Linked DNA regions of Diceros bicornis minor. The protein of the gene in region 4 purifies or fractionates together with the protein of the main gene of each other region. This does not show direct contact. Links are inferred from orthologs where the notes say so. Each region holds a gene or a part of one and is shown on either strand. Other genes may lie near its edges. The genes, in order: CCT8, BAG2, TIMM13 and TUBG1.

Region 1 (7,415 bases), on a different chromosome or scaffold from region 4:
TCTAGAGAGGATCCTCTTTGTCCCTAGAAAAAGTGTCAGGAATGACAACTGAAACCATCTATACCCACACAGCTTGCTGTCTACATTAGCATGACTTTGCTATTCCAGTGTCTTCATCAACATAACTTTATTCTAGGAAACACTGGCCCAGGAAGATAAAAGTTGCAAATAACTGTATTGCTCATTCCAGAAGCATCCTGAAAGATCCATCAACTGTTCAATAGAAAGCATCAAACGACAGTTTACACCTCAAGACTCTTTGAACCCATTGCCTCAAAATCCTTACCTTGCTATGCCCATCAATCGTATGTCATGATCGTTACTCAAACTTCCCAAGCTCCTACATTGAAAGACCTTCCTTAACTGGACTTCAAAAACTCATAAATATCCTAACTTTGCACACACACACACCCCCCAACTGAGATGCTACTAAGAATCTGACAAAGTAGTGCTCTCCCTGATTGCAGTAGAATAAACTCAGCTTTGTCTCATCAACATATTATCTTGGTGATATTTTAGGAAGCCAATATTCTATAGGTGTCAGGAAATAACAGAGGATAACCAAAGGGTGTGAGATCTCTTGCAACATGTGGCTGGAAAGGTGTTACTTCAGAAGAGTGGGCAGGAAGGGTAAGCATCCAAATGGTGGAATGGCAAGATAGGCCTCACTGAGAACAAGGAATCGTCACTAGAGTGAGCCCTCTGAGGATAGCCACAAGGAGAAACAGTGCCAAGGCACTGTAGGGGAACGGCTCTGCCAAGGTGCCATGGCAACTTTGCATGTTTCTACACACACCAAGCAGGCAGAGGCTTGCCCCGAGCTAATCTGAGTCTTGGCAGAATGCCTTGTGATCCTCCTGGAACACAAGAGGATAGGAGGCCTGTGAAGAGCTTCTCCCAGGCAATTTCTCTCTTACCTCCCTATGCCCCTTAGGAAGTTGTCATAGGAAGATGATGAGGCAGTTTCTCATCATCTCCAGTGTTCTGATGGGCTGTGGATCATCCTGCCCCAGCCCCCTGCAGTAGAGATGGGTAGAATATATAACTGATCAGCTACAGTCCAGAGTTAACTCCTCAGCAACTGGATACCCCACCACTTGCATTACAATCTCTTAGTTCCTCTTAGTTCAGTGTCATTCTTTTGATGTGCGGGACAATGACCTCAAGGAGCTGGGACCTTTGGCTAATCTTCCTCTCACTGTCAATGTAAGTAATAAACTGATTCTAAAAGTGGCTCCCTGTATCTTCACCAGCCAAATCAGTCAGGAGTTGGCCTTGACGTTGCCCAGTCTCACGTGTTCTTGACAGAAACTACATGAAGTTTTGGGATCAACATGGCAGTCTGAGGCCCAGTCTAACTCCCAACCTCACTCTCACCCCATAGATAAAAGGCTAGGAATGGGAGGTTTCCAGGGAAATTAAGACACAAAAATAACAATTACATTGGGAGACAGTACTTCTTTATACTCTTTTGGTTTTCCCCAATCCTCCTGGCTTCCCGCTTCACTCCTTACCCCTCCATTGGAGGGAGTTATCTGGTTTAATGGGTGACTGACACGGGGCCACCTTTCTTTCTGGACTTCAAAAATTATTATATGGAGTTAACCCTTTAAAAGTCTCTCTTCTTCTTTTCTGCTCCTCCACTCCAATTCAGTGTAAAGCAGCAATCACGGACAAGAATGTCTACACTTTCACACTAAGCCATATCCTCCAAAGTCCAGTGATACGTTGAATCCCAGCTGCCTGACTCGGATTTCACTTCGGTAATTGTTTCCAAACTCTGAGAGGGAATGGGGGTTTCCTTAAGCCCAAAGAAATTTGATTAAAACAGAAAAAAAAATTTTAATTTATAAAGGAAAATTAAGAGATTTTCACAAAAAAAAGAAATTGAAGTGAAATAATAAGCCAAGACAAAATGAGTCATAAAATCCAAAGCCAAAGGGAAAGAATTAAATTTTGATGGAAAAATAGTGAAAACTAAGATGATATAGTAACATGAAATAAATAATACAAATGCAGGGGAGGGAGAAAAGTCAGAAGAGAAAATATTTGATGGGAGTTGGTAAAATTAAATAAGAATACCAAAAAAATTAAAACACATATACAAGGCAAAAATATTAAAATAATTCTGAAGTACAGAGGTTAAAATTTTAGGCAAACAAAAGATAGAGAGAAAAATAGAAACAAAGTCACAGGAAACAAATGGTAACCTGAGTCCTTATCAGGGTCCTGAGTTGGCTTAGACATCTCCAGACCAAGAGTGTAGTTCCTCCTGAATGGGGAGCTGAGGGGGCAGACACTCCCAATCTTCGAGGCCTTAGCTCTCTCCTGGGTGCTGGAGGCCATGTTTTCAGTTGGCACCTAACATGAGGGCCCTGGGCTCTTGAATCAAAATAGCCGAAACCTACAGTCTCCTTGGGCTTCTGCAAACTCCTAGGCAACCCTTTTGATTGCTTTGTGACGTTCTCTGGTTTTACAGCACGTACATCTGGATGAGACAAATAGAGACCACACCTCGTGATTCTTTGGTCTCCTCTTCTAGATACCCATTTGGTCATCCATTCGTTCACTTGACAACTATTTATTGAGACTCTACTCCATGCCATGCCCAGTGATAGGTGCTGGCAATACAACACCTACCTACTGGTTGAGAAAGATATAAATAATTCTGTCATTACAACTGCAATAAGTGCTATGAAGGAGAAGCACAGAAGTTATGAGAATGACTAACAAGGAATGACTTGGGAGTCACTGAAGACTTTCTAAGGAAAAAGTTTATGTTGACTGAAGCAGATATAACTCAACCAAAAGGCGGTGAAAGCACACTCTAGGTAGAGAAAAGAGTAGAGGTGAAGCCCCTGATGCAGAGGCGGTAAAAGACAGGATGAACTATTCAGGCTATTGTGACCAGAAGACAGGAAGATACATGTGAGCTACCCAGGCACCAAAACCTAGGCCTTGAAGCCACATTCAGGATTATTGTTTCTTTTCTTTTCTGGGTGAGGAATATTTGACCAACTATTTGGATCCAGCGGAAATTTTGCTCTTGATGTTTTGATTCTATAATTATGAATGCACAGTTTAACCCAAATAATACAAAATTAACGAATTTTCATCTAAAAAACATTCTTCTTAGCAATTAAATCAATTTAATTTCTTGACAAATTATCATACAGAAGATTTTAATTGATTTCAATCCTTTCCTTTTCCTTTTTACTAAAATTAATGTAGGATCAATTTTTTATCACGAACTTTCCATGGAAATTTGATTCATCAATTGGTTTGTCCTCAAGTTTAATTTTCCATGGTCCTTATCAAGATTTGATTCCTTAGTTATTTTTAATTAATTAAATTTTATCAAGCGTCATTTTTAGCCCCTTTCAGTTTTATGGCACACTAAATCTGTCCCAATTTAAAGAAAATAAGTAATTTGCACTTGTCCAAGTCAAAGAACAAAAGTCAAGCCAAAACGTTCTGCTTTGGGTTTTCTGCATTTTCTGCAAGAAAAGTGGATTATTTTCATAATGTGAAATTACCCTTAAAAGTACTCTATTAGCATTCAGTCTTTTTGAAATCAGCCACGTGTTGACATGCGAAGACATATAGATCAGGTTTTAAAAGATCTGGGGAGAGTAAAAGGGATTTATATTTCCAGGAAAAAGCAGGAAAGAGGAATATACACAGTGACTAAGAACGTGCATTTTGCAGTCATTCTGATCTTGCTAGGAATCCTTGCTTTAACATTACTAGCGCTGTGATCCTGGACAAATTACCATTTGTAAACCTCAGTTTCCGCTTCTATCAAATGGAGATAATAGTAGTTAACTCGGAAGGCTGACCATTAGCTTAGGTCTTGCACGTAAAGCAAATAACACAGAGCCTGGCACATATGAGAACTCAGCATGTAGTTATCCTTACGGATTTTAAGTATTACCGTCCCGTCCCCAGCGCTTCCTACAGAGCCCCAGACAGACCAGACGCCCAGCCACAGATTTTTCCGGACGAGGGCAGACGCCCTGTCTCGGGAAAAAAGTGAACACCTGCCCCGATGTTGTGAGTGGGCTTGGAAAATAACTTGGAAATTAAATTTAGGAGGGAGGCGTGGCTTCTAGGTCAGAAATGGCAAAAACGTAACGTCGCGGCCACGGAGCCTCAACGGCTGACACTCTCGGCAACCAGCCACAATGGCCTGTGCCGCCTGCGCTTGCGTCGGCCCGATCGATCGACCTGATCGAGGATCGTCAACCCAGTCCTGGCTGCGGGAACTGCTCTTTCTCGCGAGGTTTCAGACCAGGAGGCTGAGGGAAAGGGCGGGCCCAGCTGAAGAGAGAGGCGGAGCGTGAGGCCGCGGCACGCTGCGTTCCCAGCAGGCCGTGCGTGCCCCTCGCTTCCTCCCGGATCCTCCGAGCGAGCGCGTGAGGGGCTCCTGCGTACTGGCCATGGCGCTTCACGTCCCCAAGGCCCCGGGCTTTGCCCAGATGCTCAAGGAAGGAGCGAAGGTGAGGAATGGAGGAAGGGAGGGGGAGGTGGCTGCCGCGAGAGAGCAGGGCCTACTAAAGGGCCGAGCGTGCTCCCCCGGCGCAGAGATCGGAGGAAGAGAAGGTTCCAGAAAGGGAGGTGTTCTCGGGAGGGCTCGGCCCCCGAGGCCTGCGGGCGTTTCCGTTCTTGTGCGACCCCGGGGGGAATCGAGGAGGCAGAGGCCGCGGGTGAGGGGCAAGGCCCCGGGATTCGCGTTTTGCACTGACTAGCTGGGGAAGCGTGAAGCCGCTTGTGCGTTTTCCCTCCATCCGTGAAACGGAACTGATGAGGCTCTCCTCCCTTAAAGGGTGTTGTGAGGGTGAAGGTGGATAACGGAGGTGAAATTGCTTTGGGAGCCGCGGGGCCGGTTGACACGCAGTTCGAGGATGGGGCGATCCGAGAGGAGAGGAACAAGGGCCAGGTCTTGGCAGCTTCCTTCCAAATGAGAAACAGAGGGGCTCCCTATTTAGTTCGCAGAAGTAGTGCGTTGTAGTAGGACAGACACTTACAACCCAAATGAGTTTTGGTCTCAATTTAAGGTTAAGTAGCTTGTAAGACTTACCCCCCAGGGTCTTACTTTCCTCATCTTTAAATTGAGATTGGACAAAAAGGTGGTACCTTTAAGTTGTACCTGTCCATCTGACCTGTGTAACCCATGGGTAAGTGACACCCTGGTCTAAGTAAGTAAAACTGCTTTGTTTTATGGCCAGATCTCGAACGTAATTTCAAGAGCGCGATTTTTAACAACCCCTTAAGTTTTAGGGAACCAGGTTTTTGTTGGCAGGATGCACTTTGGGATAACAGTATACTAAATAAATATCAGGGTTTAATGTAAATGTTGGTGGAACAAGTTTGCTGAAAGGGACATCGGTTGCTCACTTTTTTAAAAAGTCAGGCTGAGAACTCTTCGTAGTTTTTATTCTTCTGAGGCAGAAATAATAAATGAACAGATAAACAAGGATGATTTCAAATAATGATAAAGGAAACAAACAGTACTGTAGTAGAGAATGACAAGAAATAAGAAAGTCTGCCTCCAAAAAAAAGGTAAGGGTTTAGGGTAGATAAAACAATTAAATAAGATGTTCAGGGAAGAGTTCTTAGCTCAGTTTCTGGGTGACAGAAGGAACCAGCCAAGATTAAAGGGAGAAGTGTTCCGGGCTGAGGGACCAGTAAGTACAAAGACCCTGAAAATGGAATGAGTTTGACCTTTTTAAAGAAAACAGTGAGAAAGGTGATGGGCCTGAAGCTCACCAAGGGAGGGCAAGAATGGTAAGAAAAGAATATAGAGAAGCTGTAGGCAGTGGCCAAACATGTAGGGCCTTGTAACCCTGAGGCAGGATTTACATTTTATCCTGGGAGGGATGGTAAACTTCTGAAGAAGGGTTTGATGGGATCTAGTTGATGACCTGAGGGCTGCTCCTCAGGGGTGGGGGATGTAGGAGTGTAAGCCAGGGGATCACACTGAGTGCTCTTGTAAGAGTCCAACTCTTGTCGCTGAAGACACTGCTTCTAAAGTGGTTATTAACCTTGTTTGGATCACAGTCCCTTTAATGTATGTTATAAAAGCCGTGCCTTATACTCTAGAACAGTACTGTCTGATAGAACTTTCTGTGATGATGGAAATGTTGTGTATCTGTGCTGACCAATATGGTATCCACTAGCCACATGTAGCTACTGGGCACTTGAACTGTGGCTAGTGCAATTGAGGAACTGAATTTTTAATTTTAATTACTTGAAATTTGAATAGCCACGTGTGGCCAGTGGCTACTGTATTGGGCAAAGCAGCTCTAGAAAAACGTTCACATGAACACTAGGTTCATGAAACCTATCTAAGGCCACAAATAAATCCCAGCTCTAAAAAAAGCTCAGTGTAAAATTTGAGAATTTTAGTACTATGAGCGATTCAGCAGTTTTTCAATATGTACACGTTGGAATTGTTGCAGTTCAAAAGCCTGTATACTTTAGTCCCTAAATATTTTGGAGACAGATAGGTTAAGTGGGAATTCCCAATGAACATAGAACTGCTGGCTTTACAGTGCTCAGGCTCTAACACAATAAGAAAAATATTCATGCCACATTTCAAGTTTTAGTCAGAAAGTACTGGTAAACTCTGAAAAGGTATTTTTACCTGAAATAGCTCATATGCTTTCTCTAATCAGTCTTAGCACTCTTCCCTGCACTTTTCACTACATCAAAAAAAATTATAGGCGCTGCATTTTGATGTGTAAGTGGGTACCTGTGGTTCCTAAAAATGTCATGCTTTGTTCATTCAACTATTGAGCAAATTTATGGATCATTTATGAATACCAAGCACCATGCTTTACGTACATAACTCTTGCTTGATCGAGTCAACAATCCTGTGAGGGTAGGTACTATTATTATTACTCCCATTTTACAGATGAATAAATTCTTGTTTTCACTGTCCTGTCTAATCAGAAGTTTCCTTTTACAGCATTTTTCAGGACTAGAAGAGGCTGTGTACAGGAACATACAGGCTTGCAAGGAGCTTGCCCAGACAACTCGTACAGCATATGGACCAAATGGTAATTTATAAATTCATGTTTTAAAAGATACAGTAATAGAATTTTGTGTACTAGCTCTTTCAAACTTGTTCTGAGGGTATTATATATAAAGTGACAGTTTTAGCCATAATACAGTGTGGCTTTGAAAGTTATTTCATAGTTCAGTGACACTAGTATAGGGTTTCCAGTTTTTAATTGGCAACTCAGATCTCTTTAGAAAAATAGGAATCAAAATGTTACTTTTTATGCTGTTAAGAGGATAGAAAAATTATGGTGCTTTCATTATTGAGATAGTGCTTAATGTTCAGTGTGACAAATGGTGAACGGTTCTTTTACATAAAGTGACATTATAATTTAAGAGAGAAAATTCTCTCT
Region 2 (7,597 bases), on a different chromosome or scaffold from region 4:
GGAAATAACTTGCAAGTTACTTAACACATTAAGCTCATTTATAATATAATTCAGTTTGAGATTATATCCAGATTCTCATTTTTAAAATACGCAAATTTTATGATGGAGAAACTGCCAAGTTATCCTAAGTTTCTCCAGTTTGTATTTCCTTTCCTTCTTGAAAAGACAGATGTAGTTGATGAGACTTACATAAAGCACATGTTAATTAGTTTTCTGCCCTAAATATTAAAATTCTCTGTTTTTTAATGCAGATGTGGAATTAGAAGAAGCTATTAGAAGAAGTCTTGAGGAAATGTAATTAAAGATATTACTGTACAACGTCAAGTGACCTTGAAGAGACTCAGGATAATGAATTCTTGAGTTTGTTTTCTAAAGGAGACCAGAAATCTACTAGTACAAATGTATTTGCAAACATGCTTTTTTGCTTTTACATGTTGAAAATATATTTGCTTTGTATTTTTGTGCTATTTTGCAAAAATGTACAGAGGAATAAAATACATGTTAATGCAAATATAAATCATGTATTCTGTGTCACAGTTTCCCAGTTAACATTGAATTCGTATATTTAGATTAAAAGAATTTAAAAAAAATAGAAAAGCTCTTGACTATTGTTTATATGTTTCCCGAATGGCAGTAGTTCTTTAATTTTGTTTGTACTGTACAGATGATTCTGTTTTATTTTTTTAGGAGTGAAAATGAATATAAATAAAGCTGTCATACCCCAGTTTTTCTGTCAATGCCACTTATCGTGGCACTAATAATATATAATATTTCTGAGATCTTTGTCTATGATGATTAGAAGAAAGTAATGGAAACTGATCATGAAACAGATTAAAAATTTTACCAGCAGAGTTCTTGGTGGATTTCACTCAGATGTATAGTCCTGCTTTAATTAGAGCAGCACATTGCTGGAATAAAAAAAAAAAAACAACAAAACCCTAACTTCTTTGAAATTATTAAAAAGAAACCTTTTCCATTCCTTTTACCTGCTTAGACTTTTATGTGACTTGTATTATCTACTGTTGAAAGAGAATCGTGAAAATATTTGCATAGAGTTAAACTTATTTTTAATAATGTTGGTCCTTTTTTATATATATTTGTGTAAATGTAATATTCTTCAAAAAATAATGTAGACAGTCTACTCAGGAGTAATCTTCCTTAACCCTTTACAATTTTTATTTCATATGGAAGTATCTTCACTTTAGTTATTCATTAAATTATCAGTTTCCTACATTTAGTGTTACATATGTAATTTTTAAAAGTTGAGGCCCCCATTGTGACTAATAAAAAATATCACATAATTAGAAGACTAAGAAGGGCTTGTCAAACTATTTTTGTGTATATGTTTCATGTTATTTGACCAGAAATGTCATCCCTAAAATTTTGAGTGGTAATTACTTACCAAACTTAAAATTTTCTATAAATATAAGTTTTTCTTTAAGACAAAAAAAATCATGGCTAGAATTTTGTTTTCTCTGCAACTAGATATTTTAGTGTGAAATAGCATTACTGTTTTTTTATTACTATAGTCTTTTTCAGTTCACATTAGAAACCATTTTGTGTTTTTATTTCTTAAGATGTCAGTTCTGTACTACCTGCTTGCATTTTTTTTAAGTAGACCTCACGCTTTGAGAATTTACCAGTCATTTTTCCGAAATGACCACATTGTACCTTTAATTTGTATGTTAAAGTGGTCAAGCAAGGCTTTAGGAGGTAGTCACTAAGCCAGACCTTCAAGACATCTGCAGAAGCTTCCTCAGCAGTGAGGAGCAGAAAGGACGTTCCAGAAAGAAGAGTGCTTAAGCAGATGTAGGGAAGAGGAAACAACACGTCTTTGCCAGAGGTGCCACACATAGGTGTGATGTACACTGACATTCTATTAAGCTTTTGTAGTGTAGAGAGTAACTGAAGCTTTTCATTTGACAGGAAAGGAATATTTCATCGTGACCTTTAAAAAAACGTAATTGGGTTGTTTACTGTTTTACTTAATAATTGTCACTGATTGTATTTCTACTTGTTAAGCAATTAAAAATCATTTTTAAATTACTTCATAATTTGAACTTAATTTAGACACAAGGGGGAGAGGTAATCAGAGGATATTACAGAAAGTTATATGGATTATTAAATTATCAAAGTAAATGTTTTGAACATTGACAAAGGTGCTTATCTTTTTGTTACTTCATTCATTCATTTATTTATTCATTCACTCACAAAGTATTTACTATTTACCATGTGCCAACGACTGTGTAAGCACTTGAGATATACCAGGCCCGTACTCCTCTATGGAGCATACACGTGGCGGGGGAGTGGGGTGTGTGTGCGTGCGGAGATAGAATGATAGAAAAGAAGCAAGTATATCTGATAGTGATAAGTGTAATGAAGGAAAATAGGGAAGGGAAAGATAAATAGTGCTATTTTTAATACGGTGGTCAGAAAGGATGACCAGGTGAACTTGAGCAAAGACCTAAAGAAGGTGAGGGGTGAGCCATACAAATATGTATGGGGAAGAGAATTCCAGGTAGAGGGTGAAAAGGTCTAGAAGTGAGCTTGATCTGTTCATGGAAAAGCAAGAAGGCTAGTATGCCTGAGCAGGATGAATTAGGAGGTTAACAGGAGAAGTCCTTGAGGACTTTCTGAGGACCTAGGTTGGCTTTTACTCTGAAATGAGGAGTCTGAAGGTTTCTGAGAATAAGTCGTGTGATCTGCCTTATCTAGGAGGATACTGTAGTCACTGTACTGAGAACATACATGAGAGGCAACAGTAGAAGCATTAAGACCAGATAGGAGGGTAGTGAAGTAAGCCAGGTGAGAATTGATGGGGGCTGGGACCGGAGTGGTGGCACTAGAATTGGAGAGAAGAATCTGGATGTAGTCTGAAGGTAGAGCTGACAGGATTTACTTATGGATTGGATCTAGGATATGAGAGACAGAGAGTCCAGGATGATTCCAAAATTACTTGATAGACTTTCAAACCATTGACAAAATGTCTTTGGATTCCGAGTTTGCTTCGTGATATGACAAAATATGTTTGATGAGGTCAAATAATCCCCTACACCAATAGTTTATTAGTATTTAGATTGAGTTCAGAGCTGTTGACAGAGGAAAAATTCACTGAATTCAAACAGCAGATATTTATTTGGGCAATTAGAATTGCAATTTAGGGAGCACAGATCCAGGTAGAAACCCAAATAGTGTCCCGATTACAGGAGAGGCACTTGGGTTTTATAGGGAAAAGGGAGGAAGATGAGGTAAGTTGTATTAAGGAACAATTTATTAGTGCTAGATGAGGTAAGGCTAGGTTTGTACTTCATAATTGGTTAGCCATTTGGTCATCAGCAAAGTCCAATTTCATCAGTCCCTACAAACGCGATATTCTTGTCCTTACTGACTTCTTGGAATGTTGGCAGTTTGGTCCAGTTTGGAAGCTAAAACAAGACTGCAAGGCAATTCCTCTGAAATGGCTGCTCTGGCTCTATTTTAATATGGCTCCACTCATGTCATCTTTCACAGAGGGAATCAGTATCCAGGCTTAAGGGCCTCATCTCTGTTCAAGCATATAAATAACTTGGATCTCAGATTAAAGGTTGTGATTCACCTTAAACCATTATTATGTATCATTTTATGTGCCTTGTACATGCTCATCCTCGCAGTATGAGGCATGTAGTTATAATGAGATGGGAGCAAAGCACAAGTTTTTAAGTAGATAATCTTTGTACTCCCAGCCGTTTTCCACTTCTGCTGACCTTTATGGTGTCTGACCTAGTGGCCTACTGCATCTTTTCATTCTTAACAGATTTAAATAAATTGGGTGTGAAATGGCCTTAATACCAATTATTTCACTCAAATGCCAACAGGAATAATTTCTTAATAGGAAAAGTCAAAAATCCCTTCAGCAGAATAGGTGGAAATAAGGGAAATTCACCTTGCTTCCTACTACATCCAGATAGAGCAAGATGGGGTAGTTTTTCCTTTTTTCCTCTATAAGCTTCAGTGGGGTGGTGTCCAGGTTTCATTCTTCTCATCTCAGGAATGTGACGAACAGGACAGGTCAGGCGAGTTTAGACCGCCTAGGAGCGGTCCTCAAATGCCACCTGTTCCACAAAGGGACCTCTTCTCCCCACATCACAGGACTTGAACGTTTCTGTCTGCTGTGAATTACTGGTGCCGGGAGAAACCGTGGGAAGGCGTCTCTGAGTAACACACCCACCCTAGCGTTGGCACCTTCGCGCGGGGGGAGCTGGTGGCATCAGAGGGCCGCGGCCTCACGGGGCAGGGATGGGGGGTGTTCCGTGGGTCTCCGCATCGGTTTGTTGTGCCAGGGCCGGAGAGAAGGATCCGGCGACACGCTGGGTCCTCCCCTTTGTGCGCCCGTCCCGCCAGGTGGCTCGGAGGCCCCCTGGCTTCGCTCCTCAGGCCCCGGGCCCTGGCGGCCCACCCCGAGCCCCCCTGGCCGGCGAGCTGCCCCGGCCCCGCGGCCGGCGCGCCTGCCCTTGTTTGGCCACGCGGCGGCGGCGGAGTCGGCGCGTCCTCGGGCCGCCCCCCGCGGGCGTCAGAGGGGCGGGCGCCCCGCGCGGTGACGGCGACGCCTGCGGCCGCCGAGCTCGCCACTCGCGCCGCCGGGGAGCCCGGTGACCTCTCGGCCGCCCCGCCTCGGAGGCTCAGATGGCTCAGGCGAAGATCAACGCGAAAGCCAACGAGGGGCGCTTCTGCCGCTCCTCCTCCATGGCCGACCGCTCCAGCCGCCTGCTGGAGAGCCTGGACCAGCTGGAGCTCAGGTGAGCGGCGGCCCGGGCCGCGCCCGGCGTGGGGGTCCCGGCGGCTGGGCGGCTTGACACGTGCTGTCGGTGGAGACGGGGCGCTCTGCGCGGCGCGGCTCGGCTCAGAGCGCGCTCGGTTTAAGCCACACCTGCGCGCGCGTTCCTGTGGCCACGCTCTCGGGCAGGACGTGAGCGTTTGGGGGCCGAGAACAATCAGAAGATGCAAGTTCTGGTGACGTTGGTTCGGATTAGGGACTGTGACACTCCAGGTCTCCAGAACTTCTAGAACCTTCTGTGTGCCGGTATATGGTCTTCCCAGATGTTTTTAACTTACTCTTTTCCTATTAGGCATTTTTAAGAGAGGCAGCAGCTTAGTGGTCCCTGATGTGAATGATCCGTTTCTTTGCTCCAGAACACTTAAGAGCAAAAATTAAAAATCCAGGAATCCATCTGATGGCAAGGATTAGAGAGGAGGAGGGCAAACGAGGGGCTGCGGGGGGACGGCAGCTGGGTGCTTTGTGGAAGGAAGACCCTGCAGCTTCCGTGTCGCCTAACCCCGCATGCGGTGCCCAGCCCTTCCGTTAGCCTCACGGTGGATTGTGCGCCTCCGTCCACAGGAGACTCTGTGCCGCCACCTTCTTGAAAGTGCCAGTCACTGGCCTGAAAGCACAAGATAGTCACAGGTCCCCCCCCCAACTCATTAAGATTTTATTAAGTAATTAATATAGTCGTAGGCTTGTATAGCATTTCTAAATAATGTATGATAAATTTTGGAAACACTGTTCCTTTTACAGGGTGTGGAAACTTTTATGTACTTTCTGTAAACATTTGTCACTAAAGTTGTGTAAATGTGTGCAGGTGTTGTTAAATGAAAATCTTATTAAGGCACCCACAATCCCCTGAAACTGCACAGAATTTTTTTCCATAGTTTTTACCGGCTTCTGGGTGAGCAAAGGAGTGTGTAAACCAACAATTTCAAAAAGCAATGCATATATGCCTTTATCCCCCTCAATTAGTGTACCAGAACAAGAAGAGGTGTCTATTTGCCAGGAAAGAGCATTAATAACCACAGTATATCTCAGCAAATGAGGCATTTATTATTATCATTACCCGGAGGAAAGAGTCAGAAAATGAGAAATTCTCCCTCCACAATGATTTCATGGATGGCAACAGATAGAGAAACCAGAGCCAAAACCACGTTCTGGGGTTCTGCTCAGAATGAGACACATGGAACAGCAGCAGAGAATTGCTTCCCCGTGGTTGAGCCTGCTGCATTCCACCCCCAGAAGAAGCAGGAGCAGAACTAGAGGTCCTGCCCTCAGCTGCTTAACTTCCCTCTGATAATATTTCCCTTTCTGTAGCAGCGTAAGAGGTAACTCACACGTCTCCCCCAGGGCACGTCTCCCCCAGGGCTTTACAACTTTGAGGGCATGTTCTCCACCAATTCAGGAGTCTCTCTCCTCTCAGCAGAAAAAAAGGATTTTTTTCTTAAAGGAATGAGGAGGATGTTGCCCCTCCTTCCTTCAAGCTGAGTCATTGTCCTCAAACTTGGATTAATTTCTCACATGTGGTAGGTACAAAAACAGTCAAGTGCTCACTCATCTTGAAAAGAAAGCCTCTGGTTTTGAGTATTTATTATAGTCTAGTGTTCGACTAATGTAAAATGAATTCTGATTATTGTGTACAAGTGATTAAATTATAATTTGCTTAACTAACCCTTGACCTGAGGAGTATCAACCTACAAAAACAAAACCCAGTTTACGAGGCAAAGCATTTATTTGGGATCGAAGAATTGCAATTCTGGTAGCACGGGTCCAGGTAGAAACCCAAATAGTGTCCTGATTACAGGAGAGGGGCTCAGGGCTTTTATGGGAAAAGGGAGGAGGACAGGTGCGTTGTATTAAGGAAGAGTTCACTGATGCTGGATGAGGGAAGGCTAGGATTGTACTTCAGAGGTTGGCTCGAGATTCGGTCATCAGGCAGAAGGCTAGACTTGTGCTTCGTTGATTGGTTAGTGATTCGGTCATTGGCAAAGTCCAGTTTCATCAGTCCCTACAAACGGGATATTCTGGTCCACACTGACTTCTTGCAATGTTGGCGGTGTGGTCCAGTTTGGAAGACGAAGAAAACAAGACCGGTGCCAGGCAATTTCTCTGAAATGGCTGCTCTGCCTCCATTTTAATATGGCTCCACTCACGTCGTCTTCCACATTAGGAAGGCCTGATCAATATGTGTCTAATTGGTCATTTTAAGGACTTTTCTAGTAATTTTAGACTTTTGTAAGCTTTGTTTCTTCCTTTAAAAAAAGTAATACTGACTGGAAACTAAGGAAGTGTTTCAGAAGGCAAGCAAAAATAGAGAAAAGGCTAATGCTGATCCATTCAAGTCTGTTTGAAACCACGGGGGCAGTGGTCCAGAGCGCTACACTGTTCAAGACTAGAGTCAGGCCTAGAACATCAGTATTTAAAAGAAAACATGATATTTGTCTGTAATTTTGCTCTAATAGTTTAACTTCATGTTACGGACGGCTGATCACGCCGCATACGGGGTAGAGTCAGCCGGTGCAGTTGGCACTTAGAGGCTTGCATTTACTGCTCCCCAGCCACACTAGTTTTGTCAGCTGTGGTGAAAACTTCTTCCATATGAAACTGAAAACAGAATTATGCTAAATGCTTTATGACCTGGCCTGTGAACTGGTGTACCTGATGTTTAAAATGCTTTAAAATGTTTGGCAGCATTCTACAGATCGTTAAAGAAATTCCATTTGTTTCTAAACTTGACGACACTAGCCTTTCTTTTTTGACTCCAACCCATCTCCCTTTTTGCTTCCTCCTAAAAAG
Region 3 (5,403 bases), on a different chromosome or scaffold from region 4:
CGGCCCCACTTCCCAGGTGTCTACACCCGGGTGGCTGCCGTGAGAGGCTGGATCGGGCAGAACATCCAGGAGTGACCACCACGTGGCTGCCCAGGCCTGGGACGAGGGATGTAAAGGCAGCAGGAGCCAGCTGGCCGCTTGGCCTGAGGAGGGGAGGCCAGGTGGTCACAGGGGTGGGGGAGCAGCGTGTAACACGATGCAGTGTTACTGCATATTTTGTTCCAATAAACACAGCCCTTATCCCCAACCTGCTGGCTCCGCAGCTCCATGTCGCAGCAAGGACCATGTGCCTGCCCATCGCCCGGGGCCCAGAAGTGGGACGAAGGGTGGCAGGGGGAGGGCCACTCCCCTGGCCTTTGGGGCTGGGCGAGGTCAGCCTCATCTCTGAGGCCCCTTGGGTGTCAACACATTCCCCGCCACCCAGGAACCCAGGAGCACCAGGGAGAAAAGATGGGGGTGGGGGACCCAGGTGCCCGAGGCACCGTCTTCCAAGATACCCCTGCAGGGAAGACGCACAGGGTGCTCTCCGCCCCCCTCGGCAATTTATTTGTCAGCCCCGGGAGGTCACAGCTCAGGTGGGGTCTGATCACGCCCTCCCGGGTCCCAACACGGATTCTGTGTGCGGGCACGAGGTTGACCTGGGCACACTAGGAGCGGTGCCAGCACTTTGGGAAGTCCCAAGGCCCCCCGGAGACCCGAGCTGCGCGCGCTGGCAGGTGGGGGTGGGCGGCGGAGGGGGCAGAGTCCCCAGCGTCCCAGCACGGGTATCGTCCTCGGAAACCTCATAAACCACGGGTAGGCAGTCCGCACACGCTGGCCCCGCCCAGCAAAGGGCATTTATGAAAACAGACGGGGAGGGGGCGCCTGTGGGCGGCCCGGTCACATGTTGGCTCGCTCCCGCTGCAGCCGCGAGTTGTAGGCGCGGGACACGGTGTTCCAGGCGTCCATGTAGCGGTCCATGCACATGGCGATGCACTTCTGCAGGCGGGAAGGAGCGCGGCTCAGCTCGGGCCCGGGGCAGCGGATTGCGCACGCGCAGAGCCTTCCCTCCGCACCGCCCCTCGAGTCCGCGCACGCGCAGAAGCCGCCCTGCTAGTCCGCGCACGCGCAGAGGCCACGCCGCTAGTCCGCGCACGCGCAGAGGCCACCCCGCCGGGTCCAGGGTCCAAGGTACCGGCCCACGGCCCCCGCCCGCCTGCCCACGGGTCTCACCTGCTCCGAATTGTCCAGGGAGCCCCCCGGCTTCCCGATGCACTTCCGGAAGCACTTGTCAGTCATCCTCTGTGGGGACACGCGAGCCCTCAGCCGCGACGCCGCCCCACCGGACCCCCGCCGCCCCCGGCCACCGCCCCCGGCCTTGGCCCCGGACCTGCAGCAGCTCCTGCGCGTTGGCCACGGCGATCTGCACCTTCACCTGCTCCATGATGAGCCCCGGGTCCAGCTTGCCGCCGCCGGAGCCCGCGAAGTCCGAGCCGAAGCCGCCCTCCATGGCTCCGCAAAGTCAACCGGACCGCGGCCGCGTGCGCCGACCCGTACCCGCGCCGGAAGTCGGCCGCCCGGGGGCACCACGGGAAATGGAGTCCAGCCGTGCCAGGACGGAGACCGGCGGGGGGGGGGGGGAGAGACGGCCGGGACTACAGTTCCCACAAGGCCGCGCGGGCGGGAGCCGGCTGTTACCGGCGGAAGCCTGTTTCCCGAGGGGCGAAGAGGCTGAGCGGGGACTGGGAGCGTTCAGGTTCCGCCCCCGGCTCGCCCTGCCGCGCATGCGCAAGGGGCAGAGGGCGCGTCTACACTGCGCGTTCTGCCCGGGGCGGAGCCGGGAAGAGTCACGGCGTGTCATGCGGCCAAAAGCACAACGCGGCGTCCGCGGCGCCGGTAGAAAACGAACGCAGAAAACACGGGTGGCGGGTACCGCCAGGGAGTTAAGGAGTGGGGTCTGTCTACACTCGCCACTGAGATTTTTTTCTCTCAGTGGGTGGGTAGGTCTTAGACCCCCGCCTCATTAGGGGCTCCGGCAGCCCCGCGTCAGAGTACACTCAGAGGCAGAACTTAAAACCAAAATGTTTATTGAGTGTTGTACAAAAGGTTTCCAGTCATAAAATGTATATTACAAATCATCGGAGAAATAAAGACCACACGTTTGGCATGCATCGTAAAAACCAACCAATCTCTGAAATGAAGTCCAGACGGCGCAGCTGTTGACCCGACTCCGCTAGCGAGATGCCCTTGGGGGCACGGACTTAAGACCTTCCGAGTGGCTTTGCCCTCCTTGAGGAATGTCAGTCTCGTCTGGGCTGTGCTACTATAAATAGAACTCCCGGTCTACGTGCGCTGCCAACCACCCGAGTCGGAGGCCTCGTTGTTAGCAAAGGAGCTGAGAGAGCAAGTCCAGGTGAAGAGCCCTTAGTGTAGGCCCGGGGCGGCCTCCCCATCCCTGCATGCCCACAGGCAGGCCTCCCACCTTGCCAGGGCTGAGCCGGAGTCCGGTTTTCCTCTAGGAAGGGTGCTGCCTGGAGTCACATGATAGGGGCGCAGACAAAAGAATCATTTCCGCATCATTTTAAGTGGCTTAAAGCTAAGCATGTTTCAGGGCTGGTGCAAACTGTTTCCCAGGCCACAGCGACATTTTAACATTGGCTTCTGCTCCATGTTTCCAAATACTTGATTACCAACCACCACCAAATCACCAACCTCCAGTCACCACCTGGCCACACACGCAGTCCAGTGTAGCCTACTCCCCACAGCCAAGGGCACCCCAGTGGCTGCCCAGGCCACCTCCCATTTCCACCCAAGACCTTAGCCAGGCCCACCTGGGGTGCGGTAAGGGGAGAACAGCCCCTATCTGTGAGCCTAGGGGCTCTGCTAGGCACTAGGGGGACATCTGGGCCTGTGGGGAGGGTGGGGCCCGCTCCCTTCCTTCCTGTCCCTGGACCAAGCCGGAAAGACAGCAAATCAGACCCAAATTCCAGGACACAGCTTTGATCCCCAGAGAGTCCCAAAATACACTGAGGAGTGTGGCCCAGACCAGCGCAGACTCCTGCGTGTCTGGGGGCCAGCAAGCCCCACCCTCCCAGCGCCTCGTCCACACACTGTCCACACGGCTCCCCCTAGGCCAGGGCTCCCACTAAGCCAGGGCGGGAAGGGGAGGCAGCCTGCAGCCTCAGGGGCCTGGGAAGCACTCCCAGGAGAGGTCCCACACGGGGCAGGATGGTGCATGGCCAGGGCAGGCCACCACAAATGGGGGGTGTCTGCACTTTCCGTGAGTTGTTTTGGTGACACATTTCCCTCCACAGAGAAAACACAGCCCATGGCCTGGAGACCATAGAAAGATCCGGACTGAAAGCAAGGGGCTTCTAGCAGGTTCTAGATACAGCAGCAGCAGCAGTGTTTGTGTTGTCAGCCACTGGCACTTTCCCGGCCTCCAACCCTCCTCGCCATTAGGAATTCCCAAGCAAAGCCAGACACGTACAGGTGGGGCGAGTGTGCTGCCCAGGGCTAGCGTGACCCACGAGGGGCCAGTGCGGCTGCGCTGTACACGTCGCCTTCCAGGCAGCACGCCTCATGGCTCAGGGTTGCGTCTGTAAGACTTGAGCTGCACTTTCTGAAGGAGTCTGCCCTCTGGGGGCTCAGCTCACTGAGACAGGCCCCTGGATGCCAGCCCACCCCGGGGCACTGTCCTGGTGACCCTGGCATGAGCCCCTGGAGCGGGATCCTGGCAATCTGAGTACTGACCAATGTAAAAAAATAAATATCCATTAAAAAAATAACTTCTGTGTATCTAAGCAGGAGGGTGGACACGGGAGGCTAACGCAGGAGGGGTGGCCGGCGGCCAGGGCGGCTGCGTGGTGTGGAGCCGGCCCGCAGGAGGCAACGGGCGTGTCCCAGGGCCAGCACATCAGCAAGGTTAGACAGAAGCTAGGCTGTCAACAAACGCGTGAGGATCTACGTGGGAAACGGGGGCCAGTCTCAGCCCCGTGCACACGGCAGGGTGGGGAAACAGGGAGGGGCCCAGGGACTTGCCGTGAAGTCACCTTCCTCCTGCCAGGAGGGCGGGAAGTGGTTGGCACACGTGGACATGGTTCTGAACCCCGAGGCGCTTGCTTCTGAGGTTATCAAACTTGTCCCCTCACCATTTACCTGGCGACAAGTCTTAGAACGGAACTGTCCCCGTCCCCTAGGCTTCCTTCTCTCCTGCCCCGCTGGTCCCGCAGGGTGAGGACCTCACCTACAGAAAGCTCCAGAAACGCAAGGGTCAGGCAGCCAGAAACGGCAGGAGGCGGCCCAGCCCAGAGCACCCCGATCCAAGAGGGCAGAAACCTCGCTGCTGCCCACCGCCACAGCGGGAACTGCCCCCACCCCGGAGGGCCGGGTCGAGGTCAAACGCACCATTCCTCAGCGCTCCAATACCTCGTTTCCGGTTGGTTGAGCCACCAGAACTCGAGGGGGGTACGCCCCTGCCCCCCACCAGGTCGGAACCTGGATTCTGAATTTGGTTTTAAAAAAGCTTAATAAAACAAACCACTACTGGGGCCGGCCGGGTGGCGCAGGCGGTTAAGTGCGCACGATCCGCTGTGGCGGCCCAGGGTTCGCCGGTTCGGATCCCAGGCGCGCACCGAAGCACCGCTTGTCAAGCCATGCTGTGGCGGCGTCCCATATAAAGTGGAGGAAGATGGGCACGGATGTCAGCCCAGGGCCAGTCTCCCTCAGCAAAAAGAGGATGATTGGCAGATGTTAGCTCAGGGCTGATCTTCCTCACACAAAAACAAAACAAACCACTACTATTGAATTCCTATGCAGCACCGCTCTCCATCACCTCAGGGCCCCAGGGGCAGCTCCTCCCCGCCCCAGCCCCGGGGGGTCTGTGGTGGAGGCAGGGGCAGTGGGCAGCCCCCAGAGGTCAGCCCAACCCTCCAGCCGCCAAGCCCACTCTGCTAACCATGTGGTTCCTGGGCCTGGAATTCAACCAAATGGTGAAACGGGGCACCAGAAAAACTCTCCTGAACAGTGATGATGAGCGGAGGGTCCGAGGAACCAACCCACAGGAAAGATCGACAGAGACCCACCCCGACGGCCTGGCAGTTTGCTTAAAAATTCTCTAGAAATGTATCAAGGACTAAAGAGCGCCAATGGTATAAAAATAGTTTTCAGTGGCTCTGGGTAAAGAAAGGTGTGGGATGAGGCGTGTTCGTTCACATCACGCGGCAGCCTCGGGAGGTGGTCCTCGGGTCCCCCTGGAAGGAAGGACGGCAGCCGTTAATGAGCGGGGAGGCGGGGCGCACCCTCCTGGCTAGGCAGGTAGCTGGTGGTCCCCTGTCCCCGCCAGACACCGGCTGGACCAGGCCCAGGGCCTGAGCCACCTCAGGAAACTTAGCTGCCGGCAAGATGACAGGGCCAGCGGCTTCA
Region 4 (7,017 bases):
GGACAAAAAGCACCCAACCTTACAATTAGGACAGATAAAAAACTGTTGGCAAAAGAGAGGCAAAAAAAAGCAAGCCAAGGCATCCTTGGGAATCTTCTTGGCTACCAAAAGCAACAAGAACAATGATCAGAGACGTGTGCTCAATAGATTTCATCTGAAATTTGATGTGTAGATTTTTTTTCACAGAACACTAAGTCTCTACTTAAATGGGCCCTCCCTTCCTTTTCCTGTTCCTTTTTCATTTTCATTCAAATTCTAAACTTTCAAATAAGAATTTTTATATACCTTTAATCATTTCTCAGGTCATTTTATTGATTTGGGGAGATTTTTGCGGAGATGGGAGGGGAAACACCTTATTTTTTCCAATTGTGAAAACAACAGATTCCATAACATCCCCTAGAATATAGTATGGTTAACTCAGACTAGCGACTGTAAAAGCAGATCCCAACAGAGAATAATTTAAAGATCATCTAGAATCACAGAATGTTAAAAACTGGAAAGGAGCTTTGCAGTCATCTAGCCCTCCTTGAACCATATGCGCTTCATAGAAGGGCTTGGGGTTCACACACATTTCCAGGGCTCCTTTGTCCTCCCCTATCTCCTAGGTATGAGTCAAACCAAAAAGTTACCTGAACCTGTTCGTTTCTGATCCTGTGAGGATACACTCTCACTGACTCAGCTGTTCTTCCCCCAAATCACTCATTTATAGGTGGTGTTGAGGCTAATGAAAATATAAGCTATTGGAGAGAAACGCCTGACATTTCTGTTATTATCCTAGAGACAAGAACATATCAGTGAATAGAAGCAACATAGGTTGGAAGAACTCTGATATGATACCCATAATTCCTCTGGAACCTGAAAAAAAAGAGTGAAAACCTTGAAATACTACAGTGGCAAGGCATCTACATCTATCTTTGTCTTTTATGTTGTTGTTTTTTTAAGATGTAAGAGGGCACATTCACAGGTACAGTTGACTAAGAATACAGAACATGGAAAGTTAAGAGCTACCTACCTGAATTCTGATGATTTTTTTGTACTCCTATCCAATCTTCTAATACCTCAAAATATATAAAACACCTCAGTTAATGATTTATCATTATTCAAAACAAATAATGAAAGAAAAATAAAATATTTCAGATTTGATTTCTCTCAGACCTGAGCCAATGATCCTTCTATGTTTCCTAAACATTTAAAATGTCTGAGAACAAAACAGTCACTCTTTGACATTCCTAAGCGAAATGTCAACACCCATATTCAATATGATGCTACTGGAATGTGAAGTCTAACTTTCATTTTGAACTTCAAACTACCTCCCAAAGAAGCCCATTTCCTAAAACAAACAATCCCATGAACTCCAACGCCAAACCACCCTAGCCTCTGGGGCCTTACTTAACACTTCCAGTCATTCTGTGCCCTTCACAGGTGTAAGTCCTCTCCATAAATGGCATACCCAGTTGCTCTTTCAGTCTCAAGAGATGCACCCTTCATTTTGCTGTATCTCTCCCCACCTATTTCAAGTGTGATGGGAACATAACAAGAGTAACTGTGCTCTGGATACACAGCACGCAAGCTACCAGAAAATCCCAGAGATAAAGATCAATCACAACAATGCTTCCAGAGACCCAGAGTAGGAAAAGGAGATCTGAGTGAGATTCTAAACATAGCATATTAGTAAACTTAAGTAAACACTGTTGGGGGCCAGCAAATTAAAGCTAACTGTAACATTTAAAGATGTGTCTTATGCAGAGCTGCTCCTTGTGTGCAGACCTCAACCCCACATTCCACTTCAAAACTCTCTCTCAGGCAAGGGGCATGTGGAAAGTCCCCTCCTCAAAAATAACAACATACATGCTACTGATCCATTTGCATTAATAAAACTTTGGCTTATCAGGATTCATTTAAAAGAATTTTATATATCAGCCACTCACATCTTGATACAAACTGGTTTATTCAGGACCCACTTTTTTCCTAGGAGTACAATCCCAATGTAGGAAAGGAAGTTTTGACTGGATGGTCCAGGGTTAGGGGTTGGGATGGGGAGGTGGGAGGAAAGGAAGAAAAGGTCATTCTGGAAAACACTCCTGAACGAGGTGCTACAGTTAAGGGTTTCTGACAGAAAGCAACAGACCGGAAGTAGGTACCTGGGGATCAAAGAAGAAGCAATACCAAAAATAAATGAAGAATGCTGTAGAAAAAGTTTATCGTCAAGTTTGTTAAAGACTATGGAAGTCAGAGATGGCTGTGACACCTTTCACCTGAGTCTCCTTCAAACTGTGAGAGGATTAATTTAACAGCTAAACATTGTGTCTTCCTGCCAATGAACTTGGAATTATTGGGTTTGCTCCAGCTCACTAAAAATCTTCTTTCAGACAAAGAATAATAAACGTTTTGATTTTAAAACCAAGAATTTCAAGAGGAAAGCTATTTTTAGCAAAAAACAATTTTTTTTTTTTTTGCGAACTCATACTTTGTGCTGTTTCAGGCTTATCCAGAATAGCCTTATTTCATCCAGTTGTAGAAGCTCCCTATACTTCAGCTCCCTTGGAATTAGATCAATAATACTTCCCTAATTATGAATAAATCCAAACTATGCCTGGCAGATCCTATGAAGACCTAAGTCCACTCCAGGTAATGACAACTGAGAGAAGCAGGAGTTCATCTTCACAGAGCATGACACATCCAGATTCTGAAAGCATATTTATAGCCGCACTTTTCCAGCTCAGGAAAACTTACACACTATTAGACACCCTCAATTTCCTTGCCTATAAACTGCGGCTGGATGCCTCGCTAATTCCTTGCAACATGGAGGAGTTGCAATCATAGAGGCTTTGAAACGGGTGAAATCGCACAATCACTATTTCCTAACTGTTCTTCAAAAGCTTATAATTTTCTTCCAAGTTGCAGCTTTGGACGCGCTTAGTGACGCTCAGACTTCACAAACCTCCTAGAGTGGGAGAAAGAAAGATCTAACGCGCGAATTCAGATCGTTCAAGCTGGTTTTCCTATCACACCTCCGGATACCTTTTCAAGACCTACCGCCTGACGCGTGTACCCCAATAATAACTACTACAATCTGGAGACAGTCCTCACCACATTTGAGCAGACAAGAGAAGGGAGGCTATGGCCTTCAAGGCACACAGCTTTCCCTGGCTAAAATGAGGCGCCCTCGCGCACTGCGAGCGGCTCAAGACGTAACCAGAAGCTCTTGCCTGATGTGCGGGGCGAGGGTGCGGGAGCAGTAAAGCGGAGAAGACAACTGAAGACCTGGGGAGAACTGCGGTGCCGAAGCCTGCAGGCGGGAAGAAGTGGAAGGAGATGGGGCAAAATTAGGCAGGTACAGGAAGGAGCCAGCGCAGCGAAGAAAACAGAGGAGGCGAGAGGTAGAGCCCTAGAGAAACCTGACGAATTCCCGCCTCGGAGGGTTTCCAAGGGTCCAGTTCTCTCACCAGAAAGCCGCGTTCAGCCCCAGGCACCACAGGGCGCTCCTGGCGGGCCGCTCCCACACCAGGGCTGCCTGCACCCGGCTCAGCAGAGGCTCGTAAGGCCCCAGCACCTCCACCAGGGCCCGCTGCGCCGCCTCAACCTGCTGGTCCCGCTCCCAGGAGCCTGACATAGCGCGGCGGCCCGTGAACGTCGGGCCCAAACTTGGGCCTGGGGCCGCGTCCACCCCCTCTGCCTCCGCCATCGCCCCCCGGCAGCCACAACATCCGGGGCCGCGGCCCCACAGTCACAATAACACCAACTGCGCAGATGCGCGATTCGGCGGGGGAGGCTGCTTCCCTTCACAACGCGCCTGCGCACACACTCGAACGAGAGTCCATCCAGAGAACACTGCGTCAAAGCACGCCCCTGCGCCCAGCCCGATCAGGAGCCGCGCAAGCGCAGTCTGCATGACTGAAGCCAAATGAATAAGGAAGTGCCATCGCCAGAACTCAGTTCTCATTGGAGCGGAGAAAGTTCGTGGGCGGGGCGAGTTGTTTGGCGCCTGCGTCGTGCGGCGAGCGGGCTGGCTAGCGGCGGCTTTGCTGGCGGGAGAGGCTGCAACGCCGGTGCCTGAGGAGCGATGCCGAGGGAAATCATCACCCTACAGTTGGGCCAGTGCGGCAATCAGAGTGAGCAAACCTCCGGCCCCTCCACTAGCCAGGTTCCTCAGATTCTATGGGATCTCGCTGTGGGATCCTGGACTCCATCTGCCCTTCCCAGAATCGTAGTTCTCCGAAAGGCAGGACATGCCTGACCCAGTGTCCAGTTGCCCAACCCCGAGGGGCCCTCCCCTGCCCGGTCCTGGCATACAGCCCTTTCCTCTGACACGGGAGACTCCTGAGGCTTGACTTCCTGTCTCTATACCCAGGCGCTCAGTCCCCAAGCTCCTAGTTGGAACCTGCCCAGACCCAGGTATCCTCTTTCTCCCCCGTCCATCTCTCCCCCACCCCGCCCAGTTGGGTTCGAGTTCTGGAAACAGCTGTGCGCCGAGCATGGTATCAGCCCCGAAGGCATCGTGGAGGAGTTTGCCACCGAGGGCACTGACCGCAAGGACGTCTTTTTCTACCAGGTGCCCCCAGCGACTTGGCCAGGGGTCCTAAAGGGAAGGCAGCGGCCTGGTGCTGGGAAACCTGCTGGGCAGAGAAGCCAGGGCGGCTGGCTTGAGGAGGGAGGGCAGGGAGGAGGCAGAGCTGGGAGGACGGGGGCCTTGGCCTTAGCTGATTGGGCCCCCTCCTGGACTCCCCTTGACAGGCAGACGATGAGCACTACATCCCCAGGGCCGTGCTGCTGGACCTGGAGCCCCGGGTGATCCACTCCATCCTCAACTCCCCCTATGCCAAGCTCTACAACCCAGAGAACATCTACCTGTCAGAGCATGGAGGAGGGGCTGGCAACAACTGGGCCAGCGGATTCTCCCAGGTCATTCGCTATTCCCTGGCAGGACCCACAACACCCTTCCTGTGTTGGGACAGGCCCTATGACTTCCCAGAGAGAGATGAAACCAGATCAAGGATGTATGAGTGCTGGAGGGAGAGAGAGATGGCTTAAGGGAGTTCTGTTTTCTAAGTCAACTATGTAAAATTGTTAAGAGACTCCACTAGCTAGTGCTGTGTGCCAGGCCGTACTAAGAGCTTTACGTATATTAACTTATTTAAACCTCCCAGCAACTCAAGAGGTAGGTAGTACAGGTCCACAGTCTCTTATCTACCTTTCCAGAATCCAAAAAACTCTGAAACCAAAAGACAATTTATAACTCATTTAGCAACAAAACCCAATCTCAATGGAGACAGGCTATTTTATAGTTTCTATCCAATTTACTGTCATTTCTCATACCTTTCATCACAGAAATATTAATGTATTTGATTAGCACACCTCAGACTCCCACTGGCATTTTACTTAACATACATTATATGTACCATGTTACCTTTATAGAGTCTGAAAAATTTGAATTCTGAAACATAACTGGCCTTAAGGATTTTAGAGTGGACCTGTATTATTACCTTCATATACAGATGAGGGAACTGAGGTATAGAGAGATCACAACGTGCTCAGAGTCACCTCGGCTAAACATGAACCCAGGCCTTCTGGATGTAGAGTGCCTGCCCATAACCACTGTGCTATACTGCTTCTCAATGCAAATAAAAAGCAGGGCCACTGTGCTCTAAAAAAAGACTTTTAGGTGCTATAAGGAGAATCGAGAGTCAGAATCTTTGTCCCATGGTCCTGTCTTGCTCTGACCTTCCCCATATCTGTACAGGGAGAGAAGATCCACGAGGACATTTTTGACATCATAGACCGGGAGGCAGATGGCAGTGACAGTCTGGAGGTGTGTCTCAGGAATGGTAGTGGGAGCCGACATAGGGAAGCCTCAGCAACACCCTTTAGAAGCCACTTTTAGGAATAAGACCCACCCATGTATGCTTTGCACTGGACAGAAGCCTTGCTGGAAACAAGGCAGAGTCTCCCCAGCTGTATATGTTGGGAGGGAAGTGGAGGAGAGAACTTGGCAAGATAGGAGTCCAAGAAATTATGGGATGGGTCCAGTTTGAAATCCTGACACTAGATACCTAGACACTGACTGCCCCTTCCCCATGTAGGGCTTCGTGCTGTGTCACTCCATCGCTGGGGGGACAGGCTCTGGCCTGGGCTCCTACCTCTTAGAACGGCTGAATGACAGGTAAGTCTGTGTTTTGAGGGGCTAGGAGGACTTGGTTTCCCAAGTAACTTGGAGGCCCTCCAGATACACCTTGCTATTCACTGGAGCAGGAAAGGGCCCTTCTGTAGTGAGGAAAGTCAAGATAGAGTGACTGAGAACCCGATCACACTCCCAGGGGTTGAAACTGGAGCCTCGAATCTGGGCCCTAGATGAAGAGATGAAGGTTCAGGGAGTATGGGGTTTGGTGTTGGAACTCTAGATCCTAAGATGTCTTTCTGCCCTTCCCCCTTTGGGGTTACAGACTTCCAAAAGTCAGGTCTCCCTTCTCTACTGCTCCCCGGGGCCCCATACCAGTTTCCCCATCCAAAATCAGCTGCTTCCAGACAGTTGCTGGGAGCCCCGTGTTCACCAAGCCACCAGTCTGTTGCCCTGACCCTTTTCTCCCAACCCCCACTAGGTACCCCAAGAAGCTGGTGCAGACGTACTCAGTGTTTCCCAACCAGGACGAGATGAGCGACGTGGTGGTCCAGCCCTACAACTCGCTGCTCACACTCAAGAGGCTGACCCAGAACGCAGACTGTGTGGTGAGTCCTGGATTCTACCATTCCCCACCCCCACCCCCTGTCTCTTTCAACACTTTCAGCCCTCTTGGGCCCCAGTCCTGTGCAAGTCCCTTTTGGATGGGTCTTTCTGGCTGTGAGGCTCAAGGGAAATTAAGCTTCAGAACCCAGGCTCAGGCAGAGCTGCTGTTCTTTCTGTCTCCATAAATCTGTCACCCTCTTCTGTCCCCCGAGGTGGTGCTGGACAACACAGCCCTGAACCGGATCGCCACAGACCGCCTGCACATCCAGAACCCCTCCTTCTCCCAGATCAACCAG

Evidence for each region.
Region 1: the proteins of TUBG1 (region 4) and CCT8 purify together in Homo sapiens (affinity purification with mass spectrometry; 3 studies listed by BioGRID and IntAct, with this or other methods). This does not show direct contact. The link is inferred for Diceros bicornis minor from reciprocal best matches to the Homo sapiens genes TUBG1 and CCT8.
Region 2: the proteins of TUBG1 (region 4) and BAG2 purify together in Homo sapiens (affinity purification with mass spectrometry; 3 studies listed by BioGRID and IntAct, with this or other methods). This does not show direct contact. The link is inferred for Diceros bicornis minor from reciprocal best matches to the Homo sapiens genes TUBG1 and BAG2.
Region 3: the proteins of TUBG1 (region 4) and TIMM13 purify together in Homo sapiens (affinity purification with mass spectrometry; 3 studies listed by BioGRID and IntAct, with this or other methods). This does not show direct contact. The link is inferred for Diceros bicornis minor from reciprocal best matches to the Homo sapiens genes TUBG1 and TIMM13.

The regions. Positions count from the first base shown.
Region 1 is NC_080766.1:29,950,531-29,957,945, reverse strand, and holds the start of CCT8 (T-complex protein 1 subunit theta), read left to right. Parts: upstream 1-4,393; 5' UTR 4,394-4,439; coding exon 4,440-4,499; intron 4,500-6,970; coding exon 6,971-7,061; intron 7,062-7,415. UniProt on the Homo sapiens protein: Component of the chaperonin-containing T-complex (TRiC), a molecular chaperone complex that assists the folding of actin, tubulin and other proteins upon ATP hydrolysis.
Region 2 is NC_080753.1:10,219,858-10,227,454, reverse strand, and holds the start of BAG2 (BAG family molecular chaperone regulator 2), read left to right. Parts: upstream 1-4,592; 5' UTR 4,593-4,662; coding exon 4,663-4,775; intron 4,776-7,597. UniProt on the Homo sapiens protein: Co-chaperone for HSP70 and HSC70 chaperone proteins. Acts as a nucleotide-exchange factor (NEF) promoting the release of ADP from the HSP70 and HSC70 proteins thereby triggering client/substrate protein release.
Region 3 is NW_026691553.1:1,706,395-1,711,797, forward strand, and holds TIMM13 (mitochondrial import inner membrane translocase subunit Tim13), read right to left. Parts: upstream 1,536-5,403; 5' UTR 1,490-1,535; coding exon 1,370-1,489; intron 1,282-1,369; coding exon 1,213-1,281; intron 979-1,212; coding exon 880-978; 3' UTR 521-879; downstream 1-520. Other genes in the region: TMPRSS9 (transmembrane protease serine 9), read left to right, coding at 1-75; LMNB2 (lamin-B2), read right to left, coding at 5,190-5,231. UniProt on the Homo sapiens protein: Mitochondrial intermembrane chaperone that participates in the import and insertion of some multi-pass transmembrane proteins into the mitochondrial inner membrane.
Region 4 is NC_080757.1:41,682,203-41,689,219, forward strand, and holds the start of TUBG1 (tubulin gamma-1 chain), read left to right. Parts: upstream 1-4,009; 5' UTR 4,010-4,063; coding exon 4,064-4,112; intron 4,113-4,439; coding exon 4,440-4,552; intron 4,553-4,734; coding exon 4,735-4,902; intron 4,903-5,740; coding exon 5,741-5,809; intron 5,810-6,080; coding exon 6,081-6,160; intron 6,161-6,596; coding exon 6,597-6,723; intron 6,724-6,933; coding exon 6,934-7,017. Other genes in the region: RETREG3 (reticulophagy regulator 3), read right to left, coding at 3,447-3,685. UniProt on the Homo sapiens protein: Tubulin is the major constituent of microtubules, protein filaments consisting of alpha- and beta-tubulin heterodimers. Gamma-tubulin is a key component of the gamma-tubulin ring complex (gTuRC) which mediates microtubule nucleation.